Linked DNA regions of Caenorhabditis elegans. Changing the gene in region 1 together with any one later gene gives a genetic interaction. Each region holds a gene or a part of one and is shown in the gene's direction. Other genes may lie near its edges. The genes, in order: cku-70 and unc-84.

Evidence for each region.
Region 2: of cku-70 (region 1) and unc-84, changing one enhances a phenotype caused by changing the other (phenotypic enhancement), as found in Caenorhabditis elegans (one study listed by BioGRID).

Annotation. Positions count from the first base shown.
Region 1 is NC_003281.10:11,152,994-11,158,093, forward strand, and holds the start of cku-70 (Ku domain-containing protein), read left to right. Parts: upstream 1-1,833; coding exon 1,834-2,055; intron 2,056-2,108; coding exon 2,109-2,211; intron 2,212-3,615; coding exon of another isoform or gene 3,616-4,206; intron 4,207-5,100. Other genes in the region: pola-1 (DNA polymerase), read left to right, coding at 803-951; Y47D3A.31 (BAR domain-containing protein), read right to left, coding at 3,616-4,206.
Region 2 is NC_003284.9:13,582,934-13,590,507, forward strand, and holds unc-84 (Nuclear migration and anchoring protein unc-84), read left to right. Parts: upstream 1-1,841; 5' UTR 1,842-1,846; coding exon 1,847-2,043; intron 2,044-2,537; coding exon 2,538-2,818; intron 2,819-2,870; coding exon 2,871-3,699; intron 3,700-3,758; coding exon 3,759-4,201; intron 4,202-4,259; coding exon 4,260-4,523; intron 4,524-5,003; coding exon 5,004-5,159; intron 5,160-5,210; coding exon 5,211-5,668; coding exon of another isoform or gene 5,669-5,680; exon of another isoform or gene 5,681-5,738; intron 5,739-5,743; coding exon 5,744-6,064; intron 6,065-6,116; coding exon 6,117-6,389; intron 6,390-6,449; coding exon 6,450-6,563; 3' UTR 6,564-6,888; downstream 6,889-7,574. Other genes in the region: col-9 (Nematode cuticle collagen N-terminal domain-containing protein), read left to right, coding at 7,102-7,269, 7,423-7,574. UniProt on the Caenorhabditis elegans protein: Involved in nuclear migration and anchoring in hypodermal precursor cells. Most likely recruits anc-1 to the nuclear envelope where anc-1 functions to tether the nucleus to the actin cytoskeleton.

The DNA of each region.
Region 1 (5,100 bases):
TTTTTTTTTGGAAATCGGACTTTTAATGTAAACTTTTGGTGAATAATTGTAATTTCAAAAAAAAAAACGCAGAGTTCGGAGAAAAAGTTTACTTAAAAAATTTTATTTTCTATTTCAGCAGCTATTCAGCATTTTTTTTTTTCAAAAAAAAAATTACGGAGATAAAATTATTCGGCTTTTATAATTTTATTACTCAATCCCGAAATTTCACGATTTTTGCGCCCGGGTCTCGACACGACAAATTGTTGTTGAATGCGAAAAGGTGTGCGCCTTTAAAGAGTACTGTAGTTTCAAACGGAATTTTTTATCGATTTTGCGCATAGATTTTCACACGATTTGTTAAAATTTAAGCGGTTTATTTCAGTTTTTCTAATAAAAAGCATATTTTTTAACGAAAAACTGAAAAAAATTGGATGAAATTTGAGAAATTTTCATCCATTTTTTTCAGTTTTTCGTTAAACAAAAAAACTGAAATAAACCGCTTAAGTTTTAACAAATCGTGTGAAATTCTATGCGCAAAATCGATTAAAAAAATCCGTTTGAAACTACAGTACTCTTTAAAGGCGCACACTTTTTCGCATTCAACAACAATTTGTCGTATCGAGACCCGGTACCGTATTCTTTGAAAAGCTTGGCTCAAATAATTTTAAATCCGTAATTTTTTTTCAGTAAATTTTTTCTCCGATTTCTGAGTTTTTTTTTTCGTTGAAAATTACAATTTTTCACTAAAAATTAGCATTAAAAGTTCGATTTCCAGGAAATTTTGTACAATTTTTTCTTCAAAAAAGTTTTTTTTTTCCAGAAGCCGCCAAAGTCCGTGTCGAATATAATGGGTGCAAAATCGATTCAATGATGTTGGCTGATCGAATCAATGAGAAATATTTGGAGAAAAATGCCTATAATCGAGTGGATCTTTCATATATTTTTGCGCCAATGATGAAAATTCAATGAATTTATTTTCTTTTTTTTTTGAAAATTTCCCCCCAGTTTTGCGATTTTCCCGTCTTTTTTATGTCGAAATTTCTAATTTCCTAATTTTTTTCACAAGTCATTTCCTCCTCCTCCATTTTTCCATTTTCTCCTAATTTTCAGTGAAAAATTCTTTATTTTTCCCCAAAAAAATATTCCCGAAAATACTCAAATCATATCTGATAAACAATCGAATCCTGTGTTAATTCTCCCTTTTTTCACTGAATTTTTGGAGTTTTTCCATCTCTGAAAAAATTATTTCAATTTATTATAGTATTTGTGTCGACTTACGGGGAGAATTTGAACATTTTCGCTATTTTCAAATTTTCTATGCAAAGTAATTTATTTTATTGTAAAATTAAAATTTTTGAGCAAAAAATAACACTTCTCCTCGAGGAGTACACGAAGGCTGCTGCGTAAATCGACACAGGGGTTGTCGATTTACGAGGGATAATGTTTCGGAAACTGAAATTTTAGCCAAAAAAAAAGTCGAGATTTTGCAAAAAAATTGAACTCAAACTTGTCCACGTGTAGTTCAAAATCCGTCGTAAATCGACACATGCATAAAAACCGTGTGTCTATTTACGCAGCTGGTGTACTCCTCGAGGAGAAGTTTTTTTTTTTTAATTTTTCAGTCACGAGCTCCGTAAATCGACAAAATATGATATTTTTTTCTCGAAAAATTTGAAAAAAAAAACTTTCGAAATTTTCAAAACTTGAAAAATGTCAAATTTCAAAGTTTTTGAGAACAAAAATATTTTAATAAATATTTTTAAATTCAAAAAAAATTAATTTTTCGATTTTTTCAGTCAAAATTTGAATTTTTTTTCGAGAAAAGTTTGAAAAAAATCAATTTTTTTCCAGATGGACGAAACCCGCTTCGAGGATGACGATTTCGAGGGTTCAACGGCCAATAAAAAGTACACATTCTTCATAATTGACGGAAATCCGGCAATGTTCGAAACGTCGAAAGCCGGTGAGCCGCCAGAGTTCAAGCTTGCTCTGAAGCTCATTCTCGACGAAATAGTCCGTGTTTGCTGCTCGCGGAGCCTTAACAATCATATCGGAGTGATTGTCACTAGTACTGTACGAGTTTTTTCTGAAGAATTTCTGAAAATTTAATAATTTTTTAATTACAGAAAAACTCGGAGACCGAGGGACTCGAAAATAGCACTCTGCTTGTGCCGATGGGTGTTCTTGGACAGGAAGAAGTGAATAAGATTAAGGAAATTGCGGAGGAAGGTGCGGAAATCGCGGACAATTTCTGACATTTTCGTGGTTTTTTTTCTCGGCATTCGTCGTCTTTTGGCGACTTGGCACAATTTTCGCAGTGAATTAGGCAAACTTCTAATTTTTCAAAATCTCGACAAATTGGCAATTTCCAGTTAAATTTCGAGTAAAATCTACAATTTCAGAATATTATACGCAATCTGGCAATTTTTTGGCAAAAAATTGATTGTTCTTTTGACTTTTGGCAGAATTTCGGTAGATCACCACTTTTTTGAAAATTCGAACGATTTTTTTCCGGCAAATAGACAAATTGTCGGAATTGAAAATTTCTGGCAAATTGCCAAATTGCCGGACATGACAATTTCTGGCAAATTGCCAGAATTAAAAGTTTCTGGCAAATTGCCAGAATTGATTGAAAATTTACGGCAAATTGCCAAATTGCCGGAATTGAAAGTTTCCGGCAAACCGGCAAGTTGCCGGAAACTTTCATTTTTGGCAATTCGGCAACTTGCTGGAAATTAAATTTTCCGGCAATTCGGCAAACCGGCAAATTGTTGGAAATTAAAGTTTCCGGCAAATCGGCAAAATGCCGGAATTGAAAATTTCCGGCAAACCGGAAAATTGTCGGAAATTAAAGTTTCCGTCAACTCGGCAATCCGGCAAGTTGCCAGAAATGAAAATATCCGTCAATTCGGCAAACCGGCAACTTGCTAGAAATCAAAATTTCCGGCAAATTGCTGAAAATGAAATTTTCCGGCAAATCGGCAAGTTGCTAGAAATTAAAATTTGCGGCAATTCGGCAAACCGGCAAGTTGCCGGAAACGAAAATTTCCGTCACGGCAAACCGGCAAATTGCCAGAATTGAAAATTTACGGCAAAACTGCAAACCGGCAAGTTGCCAGAAATGAAAATTTCCGTCAATTCGGCAAACCGGCAAATTGCCAGAAATGAAAGTTCTCGTCAAAACGGCAAACCGGCAAGTTCCCATAAATGAAAATATACGGTAATTCGGTAAATCGGCAAATTGTCGGAATTTAGTTTCCGGTAAATCTGCAACTTGCCGGAATAAAAAATTTCCGGCAACAATTCGGCAAACCGGCACATTGTCGGAAATTAAAGTTTCCGGCAAACCGGCATTTCCGACAATTTGCCGAATTTGCCAAACGGCAATTGCCGTCCACCACTGCTTTCGACAAAACAATTTCCGGTATTTTTTTTTCAAGAAATTGGCAATTTTCGACGCCAGAACTTAGCTTTTCATAAAGAGCGGCCTGAAATCGTGTAGGCCACGCCGCCTAGAAAATTGGCAAAACAATATTTCATAATAACCTAATTTATTTTCAAAAAAAAAAAAGGTTTTTTTGTGAGATCTCTTCAATTTTCAATTTCTCATCCATCACCACCACCACCACCACCTCAATTCGGTTTCCTCATTCCGGCCTTTATCTCCCGCATCAATTCATCTTGCCACATGGAATGAGTCTCCTCAATTGTCTGAATACTTATCGCCAACTCACGCATCCGATCACAAGCCACCTCAAACTCACGAGTGGCATCATCAAACCGAGTCCGATTGACGTCAGTGTCGTTGCTGGCGTACTTGTTCGCAGCACTATCCATATCGAGACGTGTCTTATTCAAATTGGCAATTGTATTTGTGTGAAGCTTACTCTCGTTCTGTGTGAACGCCTTGTACCGCTCACAAATCGCCAGCACCTTATCCATCGACTCGACTTCTGCCTCCATCCGCGTGTCGACACAATTGATGAACGGTTGCACGTTGATACGATCTCCGAGCAGAGCATAGTTCTCCAGTGGGCCTGAAAAGTTGGCTTTCACTTGCCAATTTGCCACGTCGTTCAGATTTGCCATGTGCTTGTAGAGATCCTGGACGCGGGGCTTCAGAGATTTGAAGTAGATCAACGCCTCGTCGATTTCGGCGGGAAGCACTGTCGCCTTGCTTCTGCCCGTCTTTTCTTTCACTTTTTGCTTTAGTCGACTGAACATTGTTGAACAACTCACGCACACACCACCGAGTCGAAATTTAGGAATAAATTGAATTTTGAATTTTGTCCGCGGCGTTTTTTTTTTTTGCTGTTGGAATTTTGAAATTTCCAACGTGGAATTTTGGGATTTTCACGGAAAAAAATTTGATATTTGAGTTTTGTTCAAGTTTGAAAAAGTTAGAAAAGTTTCAATTCCGGCGATTTGCCGGTTTATCGGAAATTTGCAATTCCGGCAATTTGCCGGTTTTGTCGATATGCCGGAAATTTTCATTTCCGCCAATTTGCCGATTTGCCGGAAATTTTCTACTCCGGCAATTTGCCGGAAATGTTCAATTCCGCCCATTTGCCGGTTTGCCGGAAGTTTTTAATTCTGGCAATTTGCTGGTTTTCCGTAAATTTTCCGATTTGCCGGAAATTTTCTATTCCGGCAATTCGCTGGTTTGCCAAAAATTTTCAATTCCGCCAATTTGCCGATTTGCCGGAAGTTTTCAATTCCGACAATTTTCCGATTTGGCTGTAGATTCCATTTCGGCAATTTGCCGGTTTGCCGAAACTTTCAGTTCCGGCAATTTGCCGATTTGCCGGAAATTTTCTACTCCGGCAATTTGCCGGAAATGTTCAATTCCGGCAATTTGCCGGTTTGCCGGCAGTTTTCAATTCCGGAAATTTGCCGATTTATCGGAATTTTTAATTCCGCCCATTTGCCGGTTTGCCGGAAGTTTTTAATTCCGGCAAGTTGCCGAATTGCCGGAAAGAAATCGTTTGCCGCCCACGCCTGCAGTAGATTTCGAAATTTTCGGCAAGTTTATGCAACCGACGTTATTTTGGTTTTACCGGAAATTTGATATATTTGCAAAGTCACTAGACATATGCGATTCTCAGTGAAGGCTTTCCG
Region 2 (7,574 bases), on another chromosome or scaffold:
ATTAAAAAAATCAATCTAGAAAATGAAAAACTTGAGCGTCTACTTAAAATTATAATAAATTTTCAAGCATATTCTCTCATTTTTCAAAAAAATGTTCAGTTTCTCTTTTAATTCCTCAGTATGCACTGCATTATAAGCTTTGATGTTTTCCCCATTTAAACTACTCCCTCTTTAAAACATATTTAACACTTGATTACCCATCAAAATCCCGATTAATTCGATCAAGATGTTTGGAAATTTGAGAATGGGAAATCTGATTAGTTCTTGATAAATTTGGTTTTTATATATTTTTTTAATATTTTTCACTCTGTGAATAGACATGAAAATACAACAAAAAAATTTAAAAATTGAAAATCTTCTGGAAAACTTTTGAATTAGTTTTTCAAAAAGTTGGCAGTAGGCTTCAAAAACTCAAAAAATTGATTTCAAAAACTCAAAAAATTGATTTCAGTTTGAAAAGCGGCATTTTCAATATTCTAGAAGAACCTGATTTCAATTTTTAAAAGTTAAAATTAGAAAAAAGTTTTGCTATAGTAAATAAACACCGTAGTTTTTGTTAGTTTCATAACCATGTGAATCCAATAGATCACTGTTCAAAAATTGTAGAAAAAGTCAACAAAAACAACACCAGAGATCAGAGCCATGCGATTGATTTGAGAATTTAAAATCATTCAAACCTTCCACGCAGGCCGAAGTAACTGATCTGGAAGTTGTGCTTTATAAAAAAAACAGACATAGTTCAGTACTTAAAGCGGAAAACATTGTGGACACGCAGATTGTGCTTGTGTTTTTGGTTGAGGGTTTATTTTACTGATAGCCTATATCTGACGTACTGATATGTATTTCATGTTCTTCTACAAACGTTTATTGAAAACTAGTAACTTCTCCGTATCTGCTCTTGACTGTGTCTAATCGTTACAACACTTTTCAATTGGGCTTGTAAATTAGCCTCAAGGTTACGTGGTAAGGCGAGACACACTTCCGATTCTTTCACAGTACTTCTCACCGATTTGTTGCCCATTGCAATGATGCCTAATTCCTTCGGCCTGTTTACGTGTTTAGAGGGCAACACGTAGATGCATGTTCTTCTCTGGTGTTCTCTCTTCCCATCTCACACTCCCTCACTCGGTTCCATCGCTTGTCACCGTACGCCAGACAACTACTCTCTACAAAAAACACACTGCCTCACCCCCTCTCCCCCTATCTGCTGTCCACCACCTGCACCATTCGGCGGGGGTGATGGCGATTGGAGACTGGGGTGACCGACCGAAACCATTAAATCGACGCTCACTGTTGCGTGTATGTGTGTGCCCTCCCTTTCTCCTCCTTTCGCCCAGAAAAACACTCACACAAACAATATCGATTCGAGTATAGTGTGCAAGGTGAAGAGACGGAGGGCCCGACGGGGTGAGCACACAAACAACATTGGTTTGAATTTTTTCTGCCTTGCGATGTTTCGAAAAGTTGCGTATTTAATTTGTTGTGATGTGATATGTTTTGTTTTTTTTGCCAGTTTTTTTCTCTTAAATTTCATAATAAAATCAGGCAGTATTATATATTCTTTTCTCAGCCCATCAAAACCAACAGGTGATTATAATCGTGAGAAACACGAACGTCTCCCAGTCTTCTTCCTTCTCAAGCCCTTTTGTCTTCATAAAAGTGTTTGCTCGTTCTGTAAAGCGCACAGATTTTGGTGCGATGAATCATGCGTAGTTCAAAATCAAACAAAGACAGAGACTCGATGCTTGCAAGTTTTGTTACTTTTTTATTCTCACTTCAATACTTCTTTTTTCACCGCTCTTTAATATCTTTAATATCTTCCTTAAAATTGTGTTTTGCAGGTACTATGGCTCCCGCAACGGAAGCCGACAACAACTTCGACACCCATGAATGGAAATCGGAATTCGCATCCACACGCTCTGGACGCAATTCTCCAAACATTTTTGCAAAAGTTCGCCGGAAGCTTCTCCTGACTCCACCAGTTCGAAACGCCAGATCGCCACGTCTTACCGAAGAAGAGCTGGATGCTTTGACAGGCGACTTGTATGTTACCCCCCTCCCCCTTTTTCTCATTCAAATTTCGCGCCACATACGGCCGAGGTTTCACGCGCACCTGCTAGGCCACGTTTTGTTTGTGTATTTTGGAACTCAGTTTGCTTGTACTTGACGCCCTAGAAGCCTTTGACAAATATGTAAAAGCTGTGTTGTTCTGAGCAGTGAGGTGGAAAAGAGGAAAAGTAGAACACCAGAAAGTATCGGGTTACAAGGGTGGGTTAAGGCGAAGGAATCTGAGCGGGAAGAAGAAGAATAAAGGTCACTTACCAGTGAGCTCTTGGTGGTTCCGTTTCTTTTTGAGTTTTAAGTCTGTGTGAATGTTGGTTGTTTAATTTTAAATATGTAGTGTTTACAAGTCTTGTATAAAAATTAGAAAACCAAGGCGAAACGAAACCTATAATAGAAGATTAACTTTTCCTGGCATTTTCAAATGTTGAACTTATATTCCTAATGTAATAAAATTTTCATAATTTCTTTTTCAGACCATACGCAACCAACTACACATACGCATACAGCAAAATCTACGATCCATCCTTGCCGGACCACTGGGAAGTGCCAAACCTTGGTGGTACTACTTCAGGATCACTCTCTGAGCAGGAGCACTGGTCAGCGGCCAGTCTCAGCAGACAGCTTCTCTATATCCTCCGTTTCCCCGTCTACCTTGTTCTTCACGTCATCACCTACATTTTGGAAGCTTTCTACCACGTCATCAAGATCACTAGCTTCACCATCTGGGACTACCTGTTGTATTTGGTGAAACTCGGTAAGTTGTTTTTCTGCAAAATGTTAGAATTAAAAAAAAAATTTTTTTTCAGCGAAAACTCGTTACTACGCCTACCAAGATCATCGTCGCCGTACAGCTCTCATTCGCAACCGGCAAGAGCCATTCTCCACTAAGGCTGCTCGTTCTATTCGTCGATTCTTTGAGATCCTTGTCTACGTCGTGCTTACTCCTTACAGAATGCTCACAAGAAGTAACAATGGCGTGGAACAGTACCAGTACCGTTCGATCAAGGATCAATTGGAAAATGAGAGAGCTAGCAGAATGACGACAAGATCTCAAACATTGGAAAGAAGCCGCAAGTTTGATGGATTATCGAAATCACCAGCACGCCGAGCAGCTCCAGCCTTTGTGAAGACTAGTACAATTACCAGAATCACTGCCAAGGTGTTCTCGAGCTCTCCATTCGGAGAAGGAACGTCCGAAAATATAACCCCGACTGTTGTGACTACTAGAACAGTGAAGCAACGCTCAGTTACCCCAAGATTCCGCCAAACCCGTGCCACTCGTGAAGCTATAACTCGAGCACTCGATACTCCGGAACTCGAAATCGACACACCACTCTCCACATATGGACTTCGAAGCCGAGGACTGAGTCATCTGAATACTCCTGAACCAACTTTTGACATTGGTCATGCTGCTGCAACTTCCACGCCTTTGTTCCCACAAGAAACTTACAATTATCAATACGAAGAAGCGACAGGAAATAAGATTAAAACTGCATTCACTTGGCTAGGTTACTTGATATTGTTCCCGTTCTTTGCGGCACGACATGTATGGTATACGTTCTACGATTATGGAAAGAGTGCCTACATGAAGCTGACCAATTATCAGCAAGCGCCAATGGAGACTATTCATGTCAGGTATGAACATTTTAAATTTATGATGACCGAGTTCAATTTTTTTCATGTTATTTATACAGAGATATCAACGAACCGGCACCAAGTTCATCAGATGTTCATGATGCTGTTGGTGTTTCTTGGAGAATTCGAATTGCCGATTTCTTGAGCTCATTCGTAGCAACAATCGTTGAAGCGCATCAAGTGGTATTTGCAATGTTCAAAGGAGGAATTGTTGAGACAGTTTCCTATTTTGGAGGACTATTTGCTGGTCTTACCGATAAGAAATCATCAAAGTTCTCGTGGTGTCAAATTCTCGGTCTACTTCTGGCTCTTCTCTTCGCCATCTTTCTCCTTGGATTCCTGACATCTGACAACACAGCAATAAGAGTTAAAGAAATTACCAAAGATAAGAATGCATCTAAGAAGTCGGAAGGATCCCTCCCAGCTGTGCCAATCTGGATTTCAGCTGCAAATCACGTTAAACATTACACATGGATGGTGAAGGAATTTGTTGTAGATATTGGTATGTTATAAATCTCATTTTTCTGTTCAGTGTAGAAAACAACATCTTTAAATTCCAGCATTTGACACGTACAACTATGGAAAGTCGACGATTGGTAGACTTGGCACTACTCCACGTTATGCTTGGGACCTGATTGCAAGCGGATGTGGCGCTGTTGGAAATGGCTTAAAATCTGTGCTCTCATCGAGTTTTCGATTCATCGATTTTTGTGCTGGAAAGCTATTTTACTATGGCTCAGATGGGTTCTTGTCAGCAAACAAGTCTATCGGAACCTTTTTCAACGGTTGCTACGAGACCTTGTACAACGGATGCACAGCAATTGGTAAGGAAAATACAAATTGTATGCAGTCAAAATGTGGTAAAACTTTAAAAAATTAAAATTCGATCAATCCATTATGCTGGAAATCTTTAGTAATTTTCAACATCTTATCAATGGGACATGAGTATTAGCTTTTATTTTTCAGAACAGTAATTTACTTGGTATTTGTGAAATAGAAAACTGAATTCCAAAATGTTTGTAACGAATGAAATAAAATGGAAATAAAAGTGTTGAGCAACATGCTAGTATTATTTTATTTTTCAGGCTTAGAACTTATTAACTTTTTGAGTTATTAATTGAGTAGAATCCTAAGCCTAAAATACCATTCACGTTTTATTTAATTTTTTTTGAAACATCAAAAAACTTTTGTAGTACCAGCAAGTACCATTTACACGTAAAAAAATGATATTATCTGTTTTCACTATTTGTATTTACAACAAGAAAGACACTACAAAAAACCAAAGAAAATCGCTTTTTTTACAGTTGGCCATACAAAGAGCTTCATCTACAATGCTTCAAATGCTGTTTACAACTTTTTCTCAACTATCTTTGCCGGTCTCTTAAACTTTTCTACTTCTTCCCAAAACTCCATTCTTTCTCTTCTCAAGTCATTTGGCACCGGAATCACTAACATTTTTTGTAAGTGCTACAATTTTCAAACTATAAACTTAAATGGTGTTTTTTCTTCAGATAACTTCATTTATGCACCAATCGCTGGAGTGTTCAACTTTGCTGGTGATAACTACATGTATTTCTTCAATGAGGTAGCGGCAGTCTTTGGAAAAGTGTACAACTCCGTGGTTTCCGTGCTCAAAACTGTAATTAACTGGATTCTCTTCCTCATTGCCTACCCATTCAGTTTGTGCACTCGTGCTTGGATTCGCATCAGCCAATATGCTCCAGAAGATGTTGTTCAAGTGATTCCAATTCCACAAGCTATTACCCCAACTCCGGATGTGGAGCGTATTGTTGAAGAGCCACTGAGAAAAGTCACCGATGTGGAGGACGAAGAACTAGTGATAATTCCCGCCCCCGCACCTAAACCTATCCCAGTCCCAGCGCCAACTCCGGCCCCAGTAATTATCCATCAGACTAACGTTGTTGAGACTGTTGACAAAGATGCTATCATTAAGGAGGTAACGGAGAAGGTAACTAACTAATCAATTATTGAATGATTGATGTTTTGTACATATGTACATAATAAAGATTTTTGTTATTTTTAGCTTCGCGCCGAGTTGTCCGCCCAATTCCAGCAAGAGCTTAGCGCAAAGTTTGAGCAAAACTACAACACAATTATTGAGCAACTGAAAATGGAAAACACCAACATTCAATATGATAAGAATCATTTGGAAGCTATCATCCGTCAAATGATCTACGAGTATGACACGGATAAAACTGGGAAAGTTGACTATGCCCTGGAGAGCTCAGGTGGAGCTGTTGTGTCAACAAGATGCTCGGAGACGTACAAAAGCTACACAAGGCTGGAAAAGTTTTGGGATATCCCAATCTACTATTTCCATTACTCTCCAAGAGTTGTCATTCAGGTGAGCGCTTTAGGATCCTCTGACTCCAAGCCTATTATCTTTTCATTTTCAGAGAAATTCCAAATCCCTGTTTCCTGGGGAATGCTGGTGCTTCAAAGAATCCCGTGGCTACATTGCTGTCGAGCTGTCTCATTTCATTGATGTTTCTAGCATCAGCTATGAGCACATTGGATCAGAAGTTGCTCCAGAAGGGAACCGGTCGAGTGCTCCAAAGGGAGTCCTCGTTTGGGCTTACAAGCAGATTGACGACCTGAACTCGAGAGTTTTGATTGGCGACTACACTTATGATCTTGATGGCCCGCCACTTCAATTCTTCCTTGCCAAGGTAAGTCCGAATGATTAATTCTTGACAAGTGTGTGGCTATTATCGAATTAACATTTTCAGCACAAACCCGATTTTCCTGTCAAGTTTGTGGAGCTCGAGGTGACAAGCAATTACGGAGCTCCGTTCACATGTCTCTACCGCCTTCGTGTTCATGGAAAAGTTGTTCAAGTTTAATTTATTTTGTTAATCTTGTTTTTATGGTCAAATTTTCAATTTCCATTGATCTGATTCCGAAATGTTTCAATTTCACCCCTCTCCTGCCAATTTTTCAAATCACAATTCATTTTCCCAAATTTTTCCAGTTCCCTTGTTATATTTTTAGCGCGTGTCCATTTTTTTTCAAAGTATAGAATATCATTACATTTTCATGCAGTTTACCGGTCTCCTGAATACTTGGCCTGAATATATTTGAATGCAAAACCAATCACTCTCTATTTCTCTGCAGCCTTTACCCCCTGATCTCAAAATACTTTATCGATTTTCATAAATTATTTCAATATCTTTTGTTCTTGTAAAACTGAACTAAAACCCATTATGTGGAAGAGTGAATAAGTGTTAGATTGGCATAACAAACCGTAACCGATGGATTCGCAGCAAACGACATTAATTGAGTATACCGCCTAACACATTCATTGATCATTTCTTTTGTATTCCTCGGGCTATATATACTAAACCATGCGAGAGCGTTAACATTGTATTTTCTTCAATTTTCATGGAGTCCTGTGTAGATTTAAAATTACGAATTTTCAAATTTGTGGCGTACTCTGTCGTTGGAAGCTCAGTAATAGCTACAGCGTTTCTTTGTGTAACACTACCGTTGATTTACGAGCATGCACAAAATGGAATGATGACTATTAGCAGAGAAGGAGCATATTGCAAGGTGAGTGATAAACTAAGCATTAGTAATGTTTTGTGCTGAAATAGTTTTTAGTAGTGTATACCTGAACATTTTAGTAATTGAAGTTCTTCCTAGCAAAACATAATTGTCATTTTACATAGAAGTTTGCGGCAATTAAGAGTATAATATTTTCAGAAGTCTATAAACGAAATCTGGTTTGATATGACCGAAGATGTCGACATCGTCCACAATCGAACAATTCGCGAAGCTTACACTGTTACTAGAGGTGAAGGTAACACTGGTTACGCTGTTGGAAGAGGAAGCAATATTAAACCCCGCGGCTATAA